Arabidopsis thaliana: one gene and its partners. The protein of the gene in region 1 purifies or fractionates together with the protein of each later gene. This does not show direct contact. Each region holds a gene or a part of one and is shown on either strand. Other genes may lie near its edges. The genes, in order: AT5G40290, AT4G33370 and AT5G51280.

Evidence for each region.
Region 2: the proteins of AT5G40290 (region 1) and AT4G33370 fractionate together in Arabidopsis thaliana (co-fractionation; one large-scale study listed by BioGRID). This does not show direct contact.
Region 3: the proteins of AT5G40290 (region 1) and AT5G51280 fractionate together in Arabidopsis thaliana (co-fractionation; one large-scale study listed by BioGRID). This does not show direct contact.

Annotation. Positions count from the first base shown.
Region 1 is NC_003076.8:16,103,752-16,110,893, forward strand, and holds AT5G40290 (HD domain-containing metal-dependent phosphohydrolase family protein), read right to left. Parts: upstream 4,751-7,142; coding exon 4,646-4,750; intron 4,488-4,645; coding exon 4,450-4,487; intron 4,356-4,449; coding exon 4,333-4,355; intron 4,147-4,332; coding exon 4,040-4,146; intron 3,963-4,039; coding exon 3,911-3,962; intron 3,828-3,910; coding exon 3,743-3,827; intron 3,549-3,742; coding exon 3,458-3,548; intron 3,353-3,457; coding exon 3,314-3,352; intron 3,222-3,313; coding exon 3,154-3,221; intron 3,073-3,153; coding exon 3,010-3,072; intron 2,942-3,009; coding exon 2,886-2,941; intron 2,805-2,885; coding exon 2,731-2,804; intron 2,661-2,730; coding exon 2,568-2,660; intron 2,490-2,567; coding exon 2,388-2,489; intron 2,292-2,387; coding exon 2,210-2,291; intron 2,092-2,209; coding exon 2,025-2,091; intron 1,938-2,024; coding exon 1,922-1,937; intron 1,796-1,921; coding exon 1,685-1,795; intron 1,583-1,684; coding exon 1,508-1,582; downstream 1-1,507. Other genes in the region: ERA1 (Prenyltransferase family protein), read left to right, coding at 18-90, 175-261, 358-523, 605-714, 793-1,032; AT5G40300 (Uncharacterized protein family (UPF0497)), read left to right, coding at 7,027-7,142.
Region 2 is NC_003075.7:16,069,169-16,074,881, forward strand, and holds AT4G33370 (DEA(D/H)-box RNA helicase family protein), read right to left. Parts: upstream 2,238-5,713; coding exon 2,148-2,237; intron 2,040-2,147; coding exon 501-2,039; downstream 1-500. Other genes in the region: FLDH (NAD(P)-binding Rossmann-fold superfamily protein), read right to left, coding at 1-206; AT4G33380 (dimethylallyl, adenosine tRNA methylthiotransferase), read left to right, coding at 2,896-3,061, 3,152-3,240, 3,313-3,451, 4,482-4,580, 4,712-4,834, 4,951-5,210, 5,327-5,437.
Region 3 is NC_003076.8:20,839,137-20,845,724, reverse strand, and holds AT5G51280 (DEAD-box protein abstrakt), read right to left. Parts: upstream 4,487-6,588; 5' UTR 4,270-4,486; coding exon 3,359-4,269; intron 2,945-3,358; coding exon 2,080-2,944; 3' UTR 1,733-2,079; downstream 1-1,732. Other genes in the region: ACD5 (Diacylglycerol kinase family protein), read left to right, coding at 152-301, 519-620, 758-1,120, 1,195-1,261, 1,336-1,473.

The DNA of each region.
Region 1 (7,142 bases):
AGTTGTTTTTTGTTTAGGTATACCTACTGTGGTTTGGCTGCTATGATTTTAATCAATGAGGTCGACCGTTTGAATTTGGATTCATTAATGGTAACATACAATGCTGTTTGGAGATGATTAATAATTTTCCCTGAGAGATATTTTCCTTACCAAATAATTTCCTTATGATTCTAGAATTGGGCTGTACATCGACAAGGAGTAGAAATGGGATTTCAAGGTAGGACGAACAAATTGGTCGATGGTTGCTACACATTTTGGCAGGTTAACTTTCTATCTTTCAGGATTATTATTGGCCCTACTTCTAAATTCTTCACCGTTGTTGTCTTTTCTTATTTCCTTTGGGTATATGTTAAACAGGCAGCCCCTTGTGTTCTACTACAAAGATTATATTCAACCAATGATCATGACGTTCATGGATCATCACATATATCAGAAGGGACAAATGAAGAACATCATGCTCATGATGAAGATGACCTTGAAGACAGTGATGATGATGATGATTCTGATGAGGACAACGATGAAGGTATTCAATCAAATTTCTCAACCATCAAGTCCATCTGATAATTCAAAACACAACGAAATTTTAGTTAGCTTATATTTGCAGATTCAGTGAATGGTCACAGAATCCATCATACATCCACCTACATTAACAGGAGAATGCAACTGGTTTTTGATAGCCTCGGCTTGCAGAGATATGTACTCTTGTGCTCTAAGGTCAGTCCAGAACAAAACATCCAGTCAAGTTAACACTTAACATTTGTATAACACAAGCACACACACTTGTATGCGCAGATCCCTGACGGTGGATTCAGAGACAAGCCGAGGAAACCCCGTGACTTCTACCACACATGTTACTGCCTGAGCGGCTTGTCTGTGGCTCAGCACGCTTGGTTAAAAGACGAGGACACTCCTCCTTTGACTCGCGACATTATGGGTGGCTACTCGAATCTCCTTGAACCTGTTCAACTTCTTCACAACATTGTCATGGATCAGTATAATGAAGCTATCGAGTTCTTCTTTAAAGCAGCATGACCCGTTGTTGCTAATGTATGGGAAACTCCAAACATAAGAGTTTTCGTAGTGTTGTAACTTGTAAGATTTCAAAAGAAGTTTCACTAATTTAACCTTAAAACCTGTTACTTTTTTATTACGTATATACCATTTATCATATCTTTGGTTTACGACTTAAAGAATTTGATGATTGTTGAAAGACTTGCATCGTTATTGGTTTTAGAGAATTCTGACAAACTCGTGTAGTAGAAATGCATGGATTCGTAGTGAACGAGTTTGTATCCGATATCACCTGAACGTCAGGTGTTTCGAACCAAAAATTGGATGTTAAAACCAAAAAATAGATCAACCAAACATGAACATATCTTTGTTCTTCAAATCTTGTCGAGATATAATATTTAACAAAAAAAAAAAAACTTATTACTTCCACCGTCACCAATTCCCCCCCAGAAACAAGAACCCATGTAATGAAGTAAATCATGGCTAAGCCACGTAGTTACATCAGTACTTGAGCTTTGATTCCATACGTTCTCATTTGGAAGTTTTCAAATGCCTCAGAAACTGCTTCTACCTGTAGAATAAACATTGCAAACCAGAAAAATAAAAACGTTACTTTGTGGTTAAATAAAACGAAACAGTAATGTAATCATAAAAGAGAGTAATAATCACATACCAATTCTGGTTTTTTGGCATATACTCTCACTATCATTTCTTGATATGTTGTTGGTAACAAGTGGCTAACTCTGTCCTCAGGTATCACAAACTTCTCTGCACTATTATAATCCTGTAAATACCATAGAAAAATCAATTTGTTTATTGAGATTCTCTGTGTTATTTTCAAGGTTTCCTCTCTTTACACATTTAGAGAATCAAATCTGCATAACAAGAACGAAGACTTTTATGTATGTACCTTATAGAAGTTGATGCTAAAGAAGTCAAGCACAAGGATAAGTTGGTTAGAACTTTAATGAGGAAATTGAGAAAACAGAGAAGCTAAACTGTACTTTGTTTACCATTCAAGAGGATTTTCTCTCCCACGAGCTAAATCAATCTTGACGTTTGTAACAGCTATATCTTCTTCTTTTAGTGTCAAGCTTGTTTGCTTCTGTTAAATCAGAGTGATACGTATATATGGCAAAGGTCCTCACTGTATATAAAAATAGTTTCCTCTTATTTTGCTGTGTTAAAGATTACAAACCTGAGAAACAGATGATATCTTCAGGAGTGATAGGTTTGAAATGATCGATTTTGTCCTTTGGTACCGCATACTCGTTACAGAACTGCAAGTAAGAAGTCATACATGTCTTTCTTCAGAAGGACGATACTTTACCTAAATAAGCACCAAAAGAAAGGTAAAGTTTGTATAAAAAAGTTACTTGGTACAAGTGCCTTCTGCTAAGGCGGAGTATCAGCTCTTTAGCTTCTGCAAGTTCTGGATCTGGAGATCTTTCAATCGTTTTGAGGATTGTGTCGTCTAACTGCATTTGTCTGGAGAAAAAAATGATGTAAACTACAAGCAAAAGAGTTTTGATGCAGAGAGGGAAAGATTTGTGTACCTTCCAGTATTGAGAAGGATCATTAATCATAGAAGAAATCTCCAAGACATTGTTGGCTTTGACCATTGCATCTACTATCATAAGCTCTATGGCCTGCAAAGAAACAAATGGGAAAGAGAGAAAGAATAGACAAGGTACAGAGAGAATGATAATGGTACAATACCATTTTTTTGGGATGCATGTAGACGGTTCCACAAAGATCAGCTCGAGTTGCAAACAACTTGTGGACAGTACGATCTGCAAAAAAAAGTCACCCGATTTTACATAAGAGGCAAATGCAAATGCAGAATAAATATGTATCAGGTGGACAAAACTCACATTCCTTGGCGGGGTAGCAGATTTCATTGTCTATGACTCTCATTGGTTCTGTTAGTCTATAAACTACTAAGAATCAGTGAATGTCAAAACAAAAACTGAAATGACTATAAAGTAGTATGAAGACCTTTGAAACTGAAAGTTGCACCCTAGTCCACAAGCTCGAGAGTCTCGGACAATGTAGTCAAACCTACAAAATTTTCAGTTGATTTCGTAAGCATCATGATGAGTGAAAAAAGAAAGAAAGAAACTAAGGGAAAGATAGAATTACTTATCCACATCAATCCCATTTCGACCATTAGCAACAATGTCATACAAGAAACGCTTCTCTGCATTGCCCTACAAATTATGAAAAAAAGAAAATATATACAAAGCTTAATTAGTTGTTCATGTTTGATTAGAATAGAGAACATGCCTGTTATAAAATTTACTTTCAGCTCTGAAACTTCAGTACTAGCTAGTATCATGTCCTGTAGTGTTAAGTAAACATTTGAGAAAATCATCACCAAAGTGGAAAATATTTAATACTAAAGGTCATTTGAGAGAAGTTAAACAGTCTTGAGAAAGAAAATTACTTTGACTCTTTTTAGCATTTTTGCATCAACATCTATGTGATGTGTATCGACTATATAGTCAATCATGTTTATAGACATTAACTCATGAGACCTGCATACAAGAACTGGCATATAAAGAAGAGCTAGAAAGAAGAATAAATCCATAGAGCCAAAGTAGTAAATATTTTTATTTTATTTTTGAAGAAAATGTAAAATTTATTCGAAAAAGCGTTTGTACATCAGCAATGTAGTAATATTTCTTGTATCATATCAAATTATCAAGTAACACCATGGCATTGAACATACCACTGACAGCCACTTATGACCTTTGGGAGGAACTCACGCTCAAACATATGACTGAAAGGCCCATGGCCAATGTCATGGAGAAGTCCTACAAAAATATACAAAGAGATATAAAAAATTGTATCTCAATGAATAATTAATGTAGTCATATATTTAGCTAACAATAGTTACCAGCAAGTCTCACAGTCTGAAGATCATGATTGTCAATACCAAGCTCCATTCCCTATAACATATACATTACATACTTAACAAAAATGTGACTGTACGTACCACTGAAATTTGTACAAATTATCCAAATACCTGGAAAGTTTTGAGCCTCTGAACAGTTTCACCTGCAAGCCAATACACACCTAGAGAGTGCTCAAATCTAGAATGTACAGCTCCTGGATATACCATGTTTGTCACTCCTAAACCATGCATGTAAGAAAGAAGATACACCACTCAAGACTTATTACAGCTACAGCTAATAAACTAAGCAAAAGAAAAATATTTTGGAGAAAAATATTTCTATATTTTCCTTCTAGCATTTCATACAGTAATTCTGAATATAATGCTTCTTTTTTTTTGGTATTGAAAAGGTAAGAAAAACTCACCAAGTTGCTTTAGTTCACGAAGCCTGCCACAAGGAATTAGGATAAAAAGAATCAGCACATTTCTCAGTCTGATTTTAATATACCTTTTGAAATGAGCACAATCCAACAACTAATTACCTTTGGAACTGCTCAGTGTCAATGAATTTTAAACAAAGCTGCATAACAGATTAAACAATGAGTTTTCACAGACTTATCAAGTGGTTTAGAGCATTTGAAATTCAAGCCAAAATTGGAAAAACTCTAAATACAAAGAAGATAATCACATCACAGAAAATCCGAACCATTTGGAAAGTGAGAAGAAGAGAAAACTAACAGGATCAAGATAGATGTTTCCATGAACGTTGTCGTGGACATGTTTGCTGAACCGGAGTTCATTCGCCGGAAAACAACTCAGGTCTTCATTGCAATACTCTCCCATCACTAGATATTTCACGTCGCCTTTTTTTTTGGTCAAGAAAACCTAATCTGTAATACTAATACTCGCACACGTCAGCAAATTAAAATCTAACTGTTGAAAGTTTCTGATATTTGTAATCTGACGGACAAGATTTTCTTCATGTCAATTTATTACCCAAAGCAAACTGTGTCTGTTTCGCTTACCTTCCCCGAGTTAAACACTTTGTAGAAACCACAAAACCTACTTTTTTTGGTCCTCAATATTGAATGTTGTTATTGGTAACACATCAAAGTCTTTAATGGTTTAGCGGCAGAAACGATAAAAGGATAGGTTTGGGAATATTTTTCGGGAAAAATGTCAAAAAAATCGCGAACTTTCAAATTTGGGATGAAAAAAGCATAAATATTCAAGAAGACAATTAAATCCTAAAGTTTAGTTTGACTTTTGATAAAATGATCAAGTTTTGTTAACTTGACCATTTAGGGCATGTCGTTAAGTTTCCGTCAACCAAACAATCACAGAGTTAACTTTCCGTTAGAATCTCTCTTATATCAAAACGACGTCGTTTTGAAAATTAGAAAATGAAAAAGAAAAACAGCAGTTCAAGTGACTCGAAATGCTGATCTTCTGAACTAATAGAGGAATTCAACCATTAACCTGCATTAACATTATAATATCTTACAGACATAGTATATATATATATATATACACAAAACATAATAATATACAATTAATTAAATATCTGCAATTTATTAAAAATAACAAAACTAAATAAAATCAACAACCAAATATATGCAAATATTAAATATATTTACCCTCAATAAATATTTGGAAATTTCAATTATTTAGTTTGCTATGTTAGTTTCTTCTATATTTGAAAAATTATTGATTTCTAAATTATATAAAACAAACTGAAACTTGGATAAATTAATTTGTATTTATATTATAATATATATTAGATAAATATAAAACATAATTATTCTAACTTGAAATTGATGTAATATTAATAGTTAGATAGAAAATAAATAAATAAAAATTATTTTAGTTACATTATAAGAAAAAGTGATAATTGTATTAATGGTATATATATTTAAATGAAAAGGATTGTATAATTTTAAACTCACATATTTAATATTATATATTCTAATGGTTTCTGTTATTTTTTTACATTATATATATATATATATACATGCTCTGTTTACCATAATACAAGAATATTAATGTAGTTCAATGGTTGAGTGTCTCTTATAAGTCCAAAAGGTCAGTTGTTCGACTCTCCTTGTTAGCAAATTTTCCTTCTTATATTCTAATGTCCAAAATGACGTCGTTTTGATTTCACGGAGATTCTAACGAAAAGTTAACACCGTGATTGTTTTGTTGACGGAAAATTAACGACAAGCCCTAATTGGCCAAGTCAACAAAACTTGATCATTTTATCAAAAGTCAAAATAAACTTTAGGATTTAAATGTCTTTTTGAAAGTTCAGGTTTTTTACGTCCCAAATTTGAAAGTTCACGATTTTTTTGACATTTTTCCCGATACTCTTCCCTGAAAGCTCATTAGATAATTTGGAAATACTCTTTCCCGTGCTCGAAAGTTCGTTTCTTATTCCACAAGTTAATAATACGAAGAATGATGCATAGGAGGGTTGAGACTTGAGATAAACACCAAATCTTTTAATCCTAATCCCTTTAAATAAACAATTAGAAGATTATTTTCGGGCATTAGAACGAAACCCCTTTTTACTAATTAAAACAAGCTAATAATTCAAATGTACCACGTCCATAAACACCAACGTAAAGCCCAAAATATATATGCTGCATCATTTAATCATCAGTTTGTTTCAAAATTTATGTTGCGTCTTTTTTATATGTATATTTTTCTTTTTAGATTTGATCTCCTTAAATTGTTTCACGTCGACTATCTATGTTTGGTTGTGTGCATGATGCATCTTCTGTAAGTCTTTTCATCTCAAGTTTATTTATTTCGTTTTATCGAGAATTAAGAATTTAAATCAACGTTTTTAATAAATTGATGATTTTAATAACACTTTCGCCACCAATAAATCGGAAGAAAATGGGATTATATGTTTCAAACAATAGTTTAGGTTAAAGTTGCAAGAAACCAAAGAAACCAAGTCCTTTTGCAAACACTTATTTTTAAAGTAAGTCTTTTTCTCGTCTTCTTCCTCATTTGTGTCCATTGACCAAAGGTGGAAGAAGAAGAGCTTACTTCATCACTTCCGCTGTCAAACAAACTCAAATTAATTTTTAAAAACCCACAAAATATCTACGAAAATGGAAGAATTAGAAAAAACCCAGAAATTTCAGAAGAAGAAGAAGCAACAACAAGAGAAACAAGACCAGTCTTCACCAATCAACTTCGAGATGTCTTCAAGATCATCACTTCATTC
Region 2 (5,713 bases), on another chromosome or scaffold:
AGAGAACGGTAATCCGTTACGTCTCCATAGGCGAGCTCAACTTCTGGAGGTAAGTCAGAGAGATCGCTGGTGCGGCGGACCAATGCACGTACGGAGTGGCCACGACGGAGGAGAACGTGGCAGAGTCGTGCGCCTAAGTAACCAGTAGAGCCGGTGACTAATATTTTCATATTTTCTGTTTCTGTGTTGGGCATCTTTGGGCCCATCGTTGCTTTTCTAAGCCAAGAAACCTCTAATTGGTTGAGAGGGTTTAATTAATTAATATTTAATACAAACATCATTGTCTGAAAGCTGGATCAACCAATAGCAAGATTCTTTTGTGTTTTGTTTTGTCACATACTACAGATAACAAAGAACTAGTAAGTTTCTCATTTGAGTGAAACAAAATTTCAAATTACAGACAGATCCACGAAAATACAAGATGACATAATGAGTAAAGAAATCTCAATTCGGTGATAGCTAGTTCGAAACAAGATTAGAGCACGAACCTTGAAACAAGATTACACCTCTCCTCTGTATCCATCAGAGCCAAAATGGTCTTTCCTAGAACTAGATATAGCTACACTCTTCTGATGTTCAAATTTTGGACACTGTAGAATCCGATGCCCGAGACCACCACAATAAGCACAACCCTTGACACCGCTTGCATTAGCAATGGTTTCTGTTTCTTCCATTGGACCATTAAGCTCAGCAAGGACAGGTGGAATCCTCTGTTTAGCTTCTTGCAACAAGTGTTTCAAATCGAGCAGCGTGATTTCGCTTTGGTTCTTGTTTATAAACGTAGTTGCTATCCCAGTTTTCCCACAGCGACCTGTTCTTCCTATCCTATGCACGTAGTTCTCAATCTCCCCAGGCATGTCGTAGTTGATTACATGTTGTATATCAGGGAAATCTAAACCCTTTGAAGCAACATCGGTCGCGACCAAAACGTCTTTTTTCCCAGCTTTGAACAAAGATATTGCGTAATCTCTGTCTTCTTGATCTTTTCCTCCATGGATAGCCACTGCTTCCACTCCTTTCAGTAACAAGTACTCGTGAATATCATCAACATCAGCTTTGTTCTCACAGAATATTAAAACCGGTGGAGTGGTTTTCTGCAGACACTCCAGAAGGTAAACAATCTTTGCTTCTTGCTTGACGTATTCAACCTCCTGTATGACATCGAGATTCGCAGCTCCAGCTCTTCCTACATTAACAGTTACAGGTTTCACCAGAGCACTTGTGGCAAAGATTTGGATTTTTGCAGGCATTGTGGCAGAAAACAAAAGTGTTTGACGCTGAGACTTAAAGTGGTCAAAGACATGTCTTATGTCATCTTCGAAACCCAAATCAACCAACCTATCTGCTTCATCCAGTGTCAACAACCTGCAAGCATCTAAGCTCATCTTTTTCTTGGCGAGGATATCCTTCAACCTTCCAGGAGTAGCAACAACGATGTGAACACCTTTCTTAACAACGTCCAACTGTGATCTCATATCCACTCCTCCAATGCATAGCAACGACCTCAACCGCGGGTATCCATCCTCGACTAAAGATGCCACAAACTGTTCAACCACATCGTAAGTCTGCTTAGCAAGCTCTCTAGACGGACAAATAACAAGCGCAATGGGACCTTCTCCAGCAGCTATAGGCATCATTATCTCCTCCTGCAGAGCTAATATGATCATAGGAAGCACGAAAACCAACGTCTTTCCGGAACCAGTGAACGCAATCCCAATCATATCTCTGCCAGACAAAACAACAGGAAGACCCTGAACTTGGATAGGAGTAGGGTGCATTATTCCTTTATCCTTGAGCATACGGAGAAGTGGACTCGGAAATTTCATATCCATGAAGTTTTTGATTGGAGGAGGAATATCTTCACCGTTAACTGTAATATGCCATTGCTTCCTAATCAAATCCATCTGTTTGGTTGACATCTTCCTAACGTGCAGAGGGGGTTTCCACCATGTTGAGAGAGGCTCTGTATAAGTGATACCTCTGGCTAATTCACCAACAGACATAAGCTTCTTCTTGTCAGATAAATGCTCCATCATCCCCTTCTCTTGTAAAATAATGGCCTCGGTAGCACTGACTTAAGGTACATGTCGCTTGAGCTGAGTTGCTTGAACAAGTAAGCTAGGTTTAGCTTCTTCAGTGAGCTTTACCTTGCCAGGTTCTTCCACCACCTTTCGCTTCATCTGCGCTAGACGCTCCTCTACTGGAACATACTCCACGTAACCATCATCTACTTCCATGATTCAAAATCCACTCGCCAACTTTTTCAAAGATCGAATCCAAACCCTAATCAGCAGATCTCTCGACTTTCAAGGAAGATCACGCAGATAGATATGACCGACACGGAGTTTTGGTTAAACCGGGGTTGGGGAATGATCGGGTGTGTTGTGTTTTCTGATTATAAGCAAAGAAAAGAAAAGCTACAAGAAGAGAGTCTCAATTAGAATTCGTATGTTGACAAGGAGCTAGGTAAAAGGTAGTTTTTCAAAAATTTAATTTCCATTTTTTTCATATATTGGATTGAAAAATGGCAATGACATGAATCATAGGATTATCACCACATTTAAAGATGTAGTATTTACATAACAATTGCAAGAAATAATACTACAAAACTTCCTATCTAGTATAGACGCTGCCAAAGAAATACATACGACGTTTTTATCCACACGCATTGATGAGATTGGTATATATCTCTGTCTCTGTCGAGTGAAAAATAAATTAATAGAGTAATAATTAAAAGCTCTCTCTCTCTATCTCCCACGATTTCCTTTTTCCGCCGGAAGAAGAAGCAAAAAAAAAAGAAATCGAATCTCTCTTTCAAGTGTTCGATTTAAAGCAAAAGTGTAATTATAATCGGAAGCGAGATCTTGAGAAATGGTGGGATGACGGCGGAGGGAGATGGCGAGGGGAGGAGGAGAATGGACCGGAGGGATCGCCGGAACCGGAGTTCTCTCTTTCAAAAGAATCACTCTACTTGTTTGCTTTTTCAACATTCTCATTGCTCTCTTTGTTCTTCGCTTTCTCTATGCTTCTTCTCTCCACATCTATTCCAATAACGATAATGGTTCCTACTTTTTATTTTCCTTTTCATTTTTGCTCTCTGATTCATGATAATTCGTATCTGAAGCAGCTCTGTTGGTTTTTTGTTATTCAGTTGTTAAGTACACAGCTGATGAGATTAGGAAAATGGAGGAATCTATTCGGATTCGAAGATCGAAGGAACCTACTCTGATTCTTCAATTGGTTAGTGGCTTTTTAAAATGGAACTCGAAGATGCACATTGGCTCTTCTCACAATGTTTGATTTCCTTGTTAGGTGAAGAAGCTCAAGCATGAGGTTTCCACTGCAGAATCTAGTACTGAACTATCTCCTAATGTTAAACACAAACTAGTTGATGAGATCCTCCAGCGTTTGAAAAGCTTTGAGGACAAATCTAATGTTACTCAGCTTAGAGGTTTGTGCTACTCTACTATGCCCATTAGCTTCATGACATTTATTTTTCAAACTGCCACAAACTTGCATTTCATGACTTTTCCTGATCTAGCTGCTTAGGATTTGTCTTATTACCTCTTTGGAATGTCATGGTGATTTGTCTTATTACCTAACCTGTGTAAGATTTTGTTGGTATCAATAGCTCAGTTTAGTAAATATTTCATTATCATTCATGTAGAAGTGGATTTTTGCTCAATAATGCATATGGTTATCAGGATAGTAAAATAGGCTCACAAATTTCAGACCTTTCTGCATGCACTATCACATACTAGACAGAACAATTGATTTTAGCGGGATTTTCAATGGAGATTTTTTCATGCCTAGTTTTTCTATTCTTCTTGTATAAGTTCATCAGGTCTATGGAACATAAGCTCTAACACCCACTTAAGTTCTGTTATAATCTATGCATTGATGATCATATGCTATGTACATGAAACATTTGAGCCACAGAAACTCTAGCGGTGGTGCCATTGTATACATAATCTTTTCGATGTTCTTTAGATTCTCAGTAGCTTACCTAACATGTTCGTATGTCTCAACATGCTTCTCTAATTCCTTTCTACTGCATCAGAAAAAGTATGCTCAAGAATTCCAAAAAGTCATGATATTTACCTTTTTGACTTGTTAAAAGTAGATTTTTCATTCTATTCACTTCACTTGAACAACTCTTAACATTTATTATGTGCTGACTAGGCTAATGCGCAATGTGCGTTAATTCTTAGTTATTTACAAGAGTTATTGGAAAAAGGTGGAAGGTAGGAATGGGTTAATTTATTTGGTTAGAGAGAGGTGACAAAATTCTAATAATCCAGACTTTGAAGACACTGGATTTCTTTTTGATGCTTCAAACTGAGTTCTATTGTTTTCCCTTGTAGTATTCGTAATGCACGTAGACTTGTTAATGTTTTCGCCTACAATAGTTTTCCTTTTGACACATTCATGTTATCTCTGTAGTGACCTTTAATACCTTCTTATCTTCATTTGGCAAACAGAAGTTGTAGAAACGTGGCGCAATGAGAAGCTGGAGGAAGCTAAAGAGCTAATTCAAGGGCAAAATGGAGTAAATTCCACCCTTATAGTGGAGGAAGCAGGTATTACTCCTTTAGAAAGATTACTGAGTTTCTCACCTTGAGCAAAGATTCATTTATGGAGTCCTCCCGATACTCTATCCTTGTTTTGTATAATTAGAGAGAAAACTAATTTTTGTTCTGTAATTATCTAGGGATGCTTGTAAGAGCTTTGGAGTTGGAGTGGGATGTGCTGTCTGAAGAAATCGGTTTCTGGTTACCTGCTGAGGTTACCAATGTAGAACATGATGATAAACCTGAAGGAGAGGAAGAGCCTGGTAATGTTTTCAAAATTTTCTACATTCTTGATCTCTGCTTTTGCATTTATTTGGGTGGAAAAGTGTGGTGACACTGGCGAATTCAAATCTCATGAAGTTGTGCATTTTTTCCGTAGAGGAAATATTGGCAGGCAGACCAGTGCCAGCTGTATGTAATGCAGAGCTTCACACAGATTATGGTGGTGCTGCAGTGAGATGGGGGCTTACACATCATAAAGAGAGTGCAGCTGATTGTTGCCAGGCTTGCTTAGACCAGGCAAAGCGTGCGAAACCTGGAGAAACGAGATGCAATATTTGGGTTTATTGCCCATCTGAGTTTGGTTGTTTCTCTCCAGATATTTATGAGCATAAACATCAGGAGTGTTGGCTTAAATACGTAAGAACTTACCTCGTACACATACTACTTTACCCAATTTTCAGTTTCCTTGAGATTACTCGTCCAAGTTGGACTGGAAGCTTGGCTCATATCCAATATGTCTATGTGAATTGCAGGCAGAGAAGCCAAAACAGAATTTCAAAGACAGATATTCTGAGACATACAGAAACAACCACCCAAAAGCGCCATCTATCGTTCCATGGGTTTCAGGTGTTGTAACGGCTTGAGCAAAACCCATGTGGACAGATTGATGGGAGAAATAGGAGATAGTTTTGGTTTTTTTTTCTCAGCTGTGTTACCATTTTCAGAGTCTTGAAAATTGGAGTACCGTACCAAAGATGCAAACATCTTTTGGCCAGATGTATACGAGGGAATAGAATGTTTTGTTGTTTTTGTTGATTGGCTTTAAACACTTGTGGTCGAAGTCGAATATGGTGTAAGGAATCATGTTTTTGTTCAAGCTTGTTCGATTCTATAGTGGATGATTAAAAAGCTATCTATAA
Region 3 (6,588 bases), 4.7 Mb from region 1:
AACTACTGCATATGCGTTTTCAATCTCTACTGTCTGGTTTCTCTTTTTCTACATACAAATTTTGAAAGATTTGGTGATAGCTTCAGGAAAGTAAAAATAGCTTCTGATAAGCTTCAAGTTTTAAACTACTATTTATGCTCTTGCGTTACAGCACCACAGGAGCTCGTGATCCTGTAACATCAGCGCTGCATATCATTCTAGGTAGAAAGCTCTTCCTTGATGCAATGCAGGTTGTGCGGTGGAAAACAGCATCAACCTCGACGATTGAACCTTATATTCGTTATGCAGCCTCATTCGCTGGGTAATGGACTAAACCTTTTTTGTTGAGATGTTCTGTAACAAGGAAAGGCAGATTTTGTTAAGTCATGAAGCTCTGTTTTTCATCCTTCACTTACAAGTCCGGAGCTTTAGTTCCTTATTATTAACAGCATCCTCAATATCTTTAACCATTAGTGCCTGTGAAAGAAAACTTGATTTCTCCAATCTCTAACAGAGTTTTGTACAATTGATTAGTTCAGATACGGGTTTTATGGTGATGTCATTTCAGAAAGTGAAAAATATCGGTGGATGGGTCCCAAACGCTATGACTATGTTGGAACTAAGATATTCTTGAAGCACAGGTATTTCCCTAGCATATTTACCAATTTAAACTTCCAAAAGAAAACATTAGTGGAATTTCCTCCAAATGATCTACCTTGTTTTTTCGTCCAAGCAAAGCACTGTTTTTTTGAGTTGTTAATTTATATGTTAATGTAAGATCATACGAGGCAGAGGTAATGTTTGAAGAAGCTGAATCAGAGAATTCTAAAGCTTCCCTACATACGCGGAGTAAGACATGGCCATTTCGAAATACCACAAGATCAGAGAAAATACTATGTCGTGCAAATTGCAAGATTTGTAACAGTAAGGTTGGTTGGAACAGTGCAAGCACAACACTTAACCCCTGTCCAGAAAAAACAAGATGGTGTAGAACGAAAGGACGGTTTTTGAGTATAGGTGCTGCAGTGATGTCAAACCGAAATGAAAGAGCACCTGATGGGCTTGTTGTGGATGCACACCTCTCCGACGGTTTCCTTCATCTCATACTCATAAAAGATTGTTCTCGTCCCAAGTACTTATGGTAATGTCTCGACTTTTCCTATTGTCATTCATTTTATGAGTAAGGCTTATATCAGAGATTGTAATGGGTTACAGGCACCTAACCGAGCTTGCAAAAAGAGGTGGAGAACCTTTGAACTTCGAGTTTGTGGAATATCACAAGGTTTGTAAAACATTTTCCTTTTCTAATCTTCTTAACTTGGTTGGGTCCTGATCAAAATATATTTGGTAATGCAGACGCGAGCTTTCACGTTTACATCATTTGGGGAAGAGAGTGTGTGGAATTTGGACGGAGAGATCTTTGAGGCTCACCAATTATCAGCCCAAGTATTGCGTGGCCTTATACCTCTGTTCGCATCTGGTCCAGAGATATAACAACATGCATGTGAATGTGGTTTTATATGAAGCTTTTGTGCATAGTTAGTGACCCAAGTGAAAAAGCCAAATGAGACTGGAAACTAGAAAAGTCTTATAGTGAACATGACAATGTTGCCAAAAAAAGAACATGGCAAACATATTATAGTATCCAAAAATTCGAGATGTAACCATTGGAGATTGGAGATGATATTACTCTTTCTCATTGTAAACATCATTATGATGTAATTAATAGTCTATACCTTTTTCCCCATAAAAAAAAAACGTTACCTTTCAGCGCTGATATGAAAATGTATCTTCAATACAACCCAACGGTGTAAAGGGGCACTTGTAACAATAACAACAGAAAGAAGAGACACCAAAATGAACAACTAAACTCAAAAGCAACCTTAGGGATACAATTCGAAAGACCTTGCACCTTACCGCATGCACATTGTGTACAAAATTTAGTTCAAGAATCCGACCATATATATTAACTAAGAAATATTTTGACATGATAGAACTCGACTCAGTGTAAAAAGCGTGACATATGGAAGATAAACATCACAAACATCACAGTTCGGTAACAGCTAAGATGAGATAACTAGCAAAGGGAACAAAACAAGATTATATTTCTCCTCTGTAGCCACCCGAGCCAAAATAATCTTTTCTTGAGTTAGAAATGGCGACACTCTTCTGGTGCTCAAGTTTTGGACAGTCTCGGATACGATGTCCAAGACCACCACAATAGGCACAACCCTTGACACCACTTGCATTAGCAATGGTCTCTGCTTCTTCCATTGGATCATTCAGCTCAGCAAGGACAGGTGGAATCCTCTGTTTAGCTTCTTGCAACAAGTGTTTCAAATCCAGCAGAGTGGTTTCGCTTTGATTCTTGTTTATAAACGTCGTTGCTATCCCAGTTTTACCACACCGACCTGTTCGTCCTATCCTATGCACATAGTTCTCAATCTCTGCTGGCATGTCGTAGTTGATTACGTGTTGTATATCAGGGAAATCTAGACCCTTTGAAGCAACATCAGTCGCAACCAACACATCTTTTTTCCCAGCTTTAAACGAAGAGATTGCGTACTCTCTGTCTTCTTGATCTTTTCCTCCATGGATGGCCACTGCTTCCACTCCTTTCAGTAACAAGTACTCGTGAATATCATCAACATCAGCTTTGTTCTCACAGAATATCAAAACCGGCGGAGAGGTTTTCTGTAGACACTCGAGGAGGTAAACAATCTTTGCTTCTTGTTTGACGTATTCTACCTCCTGGATCACATCCAGATTCGCAGCTCCAGCTCTTCCTACATTAACTGTCACAGGTTTCACCAGAGCACTTCTGGCAAAGATTTGAATCTTTGTGGGCATTGTGGCAGAGAACAATAGTGTTTGACGTTGAGACTTAAAGTGGTCAAAGACTTCCCTTATGTCATCTTCGAAACCCAAATCAACCAACCTATCTGCCTCATCTAGTGTCAGGTACCTAAAAAAAGGAAAAAAAGGAAGGTAAACATCATTGCCATCTAACATTCTCAAGATTTTGAAATTAAATGACACAGTCTCAAGACTCCAAAGACAAGAAAGATGCATTCAGAAAGAAACACCAGTGCGGAAAATTTATTCAGAGAGAAAAAATCCGATAGAATCACACAATAAAGAACATATATAGCAATGAAGCGCTAAGTAGCTAACAGACACTAGACAATCCTATTGATCTATCCCGTTAACCAGAAACAACAAAACAGGCACAATAAGCAGATATCCCCAAGAATCTAGCCAAGTGCAAAACTCAGAAAACGAGGATATAAGATCAAACAAGGCAGCCAAGACAGTAGACGCAAACATATATTACAATCAGGTTGATTAATCATATTGAAAAGAACCAAAGAAATCATACCTGCAAGCATCTAAGCTCATCTTTTTCTTGGCGAGCATATCCTTTAACCTCCCAGGGGTTGCAACAACAATATGGACACCTCTCTTGACAACCTCCAACTGGGATCTCATATCAATACCTCCAATACATAGCAACGACCTCAATGGCGGGTACCCAGCCTCAACCAAAGGAGCCACAAACTGCTCAACCACTTCATAAGTCTGCCTAGCAAGCTCTCTAGAAGGGCAAACAATAAGCCCAATGGGACCTTCACCAGCAGCAATAGGCATCATCATCTCTTCTTGGAGAGCAATCATGATCATGGGAAGCACGAAAACCAAAGTCTTTCCGGAACCAGTGAAAGCAATCCCAATCATATCTCTCCCAGCCAAAATCACAGGAAGACCCTGAACTTGAATAGGAGTAGGCTGCACAATACCTTTCTCCTTGAGAGTATCGAGAACAGGTCTAGGAAACTTCATATCCTTAAAGTTCTTAATAGGAGGAGGAATATCATCACCATTAACAATAATATGCCATTGCTTCCTAATCAAATCTCTCTGCTTACTAGACATCTTCCTAATATGCAAAGGAGGTTTCCACCCAGTTAAGAGAGGCTCTGTATAAGTGATACCTTTGGCAAGTTCACGAACAGACATAAGCGTCTTCTTATCAGATAAATGCTCCATCATCTCTTTCTCTTGTAAGATGATTTGCTCAGTAGCACTAACTTCGGGTACATCTCGCTTGAGCTGAGTTGCTTGAACAAGTAAACTAGGTTTAGCTTCAGCGAGCTTTTCCTTGTCAGCTTCTTCTTCCAATTCCGAAGCTTTTCCCTTCCGCTGAAGTATCTTCTGCGCTGCAATCGCTCTCCGCTCCGCCACTGATACATACTCAATGTAACTATCAGCTTCTTCCATGATGGATTCCATATCGAGAATTCAGCAACTTCTTCTTCTATTCCCTTTTTCAAAAAAAAATCCCAGGAGAATCGAAGAACACGTATAGGAGGAATAGAAAACTCAAATCAACAAACCCTAGTAGAGAGAGAGCCTCAAATCAACAAGCTTTGCACATCTCTCGAATCAATCGCTAATAGCTTTCCTTTAAAGGGTCACTGACCGACCGAAGTTTTTCTGTAGGTCGTCGGAAATCGGGTTTAGACGGCGTGTAAATTTTGTTTATTGGGCCTATTATCTGTAAGTTAATGGGCTTTCAATAAAGATTTCAGTGACAAAAACAAAAAAAAAACAAATTCATCTCAAATCTCAACTTTTTTTTATCCTTGATCTATTGTGTTCATCTATCATTTAACTTGGTTGTTTACGATAACAAAATTTTGTTCTGTTTTTCGATTTTTTGAATGATTTTCAGATGTATTAAAATTGCTAATATATTGTTAAGTTCTTCACATTACGTAACACGATTTAAATAAAGAAAATGACATGATACATCTTTTGTGAGTTACACTATATATGACATGTGATATAACATAACAACACATTTCATTAGACAATGTATTCGTAGACTCGTAGTTACACAAACAGAACAACTAAAATTAAACAAGGTGACATAGTGACATGTACCAAAACAGAAAATACATAGCCGATATTGTCCCGGTCATGGTTCGCATCTAACCATGATGATATTGACTAAGAAAAGAAAAAGAAATTCAAAGTCCGACCTGAATTCAAAAGAAAATAAACCTGACTCAAATGAATTAACCATTAATTTTACCCAAAAATAATATCAATTCCAAAAACAAGTTCAAGTAAGAAGGAGGAGTTGGGGTCGAAGTTCTATATCATGTTGATTATATATTGTTGCTTTTTGGTGCATGACATCATGCAATATTTAAATGTATTTATCTATATATTTTCTTATTTGGGATATAACCATATAATGAATCATACTTGATGGTTTGTTTAAAAAGAATCATACGACTTGATGTACCTAAGAAAAAGATTCATAACATGGGTTTGTGAAGCTGAGCAACGTTGACATTGCATATGTATCTCTCTTTCCCTCTTTTATGTCTAAGTGCATTTTCTCGTTCATTCATATAAACTTATATTAATATGCCACTTTCATAGTATATTAGTTAGAATTCATTGGATTGTGTTGTTGACAAAAATTGGATTGGTTAAAAACTTAAAAGAGAAAGAAAAAGATAGACACACATTGTCACATACCTATATTATAGGGATCGGGAGACAAAAAGACGTGATGGCAAGATAGATCATGCGAGCAACCAAGGGAGGAAAACCCCATTAAAATATAGATCATTATATGTATTTTATGATATTTTTGTAATATGTAGAATTCATTCGTAAACTAACCGCAAAAACCAAATGAAATTGGAATTACATATATAATAAAAAATAAAAGTAAAAGAAATTGGAATTACATCATATGTCTAGTTACAAGATGAAAAATTCATCTTAAAACATAAGGAAAGTTTTATAAAAAAATACTCATTTCTTCAAGCAAAATACTCAAATTTTAAAAATCTGAAGTCCCCTATTTAAATAGAAGAATTATTTTAGATAAATGTTTTTTCCATATATATTCAAAGTATTAAGAATAATAAATGAATATTAGATTTAATTATCACGAAATTTTGTTATTCTCTGTAACAGTTTCATCTGTATTCCTAGATGATATATTATAGAATATATATAGTATATATGTGAATTGGGATATATAGATCTCTATCATGAACGTGATCCATGATTTCATATGGTCTCCGACTCTCCATTCAATATTCTCATTTGAAGTGCCATGCAGAGGGATTATATATACATGGCAGAACTATGTGAGATTTAAGAAGAATACGCATTTTGTTACTTTACAGTTTTACACTATGTAACATGGACTACAAAAATATTTAAAAACGTTAAATCCTCAAGATATCATATAAAGTGACTAACATCATGTGATGCAATTTTTCCGAAGTAAGAACAATATATACTTCATCTTTAATTTTAATTTCTTGATGAATTAATAATATTCATGTTTTTGAAAAAGTATATCCAGCCGTGCACAAAAATAATATTAGTTTCCAAAACAGACATTTTCCAAATCTAAAAAAAAATACTAGTTAGCAAATCCCTTCATAAGATTGTTGAGAATTGGCAGAAACTTTCAAACATAAAAAAAAAATGAGAAATAATATAAGCCCCTCCCTCTTCTTTGTAGCTCTCTGATAATGAAGAAAATCCTTGTGTGAGCTAGTAAATAACGAGAGTGAA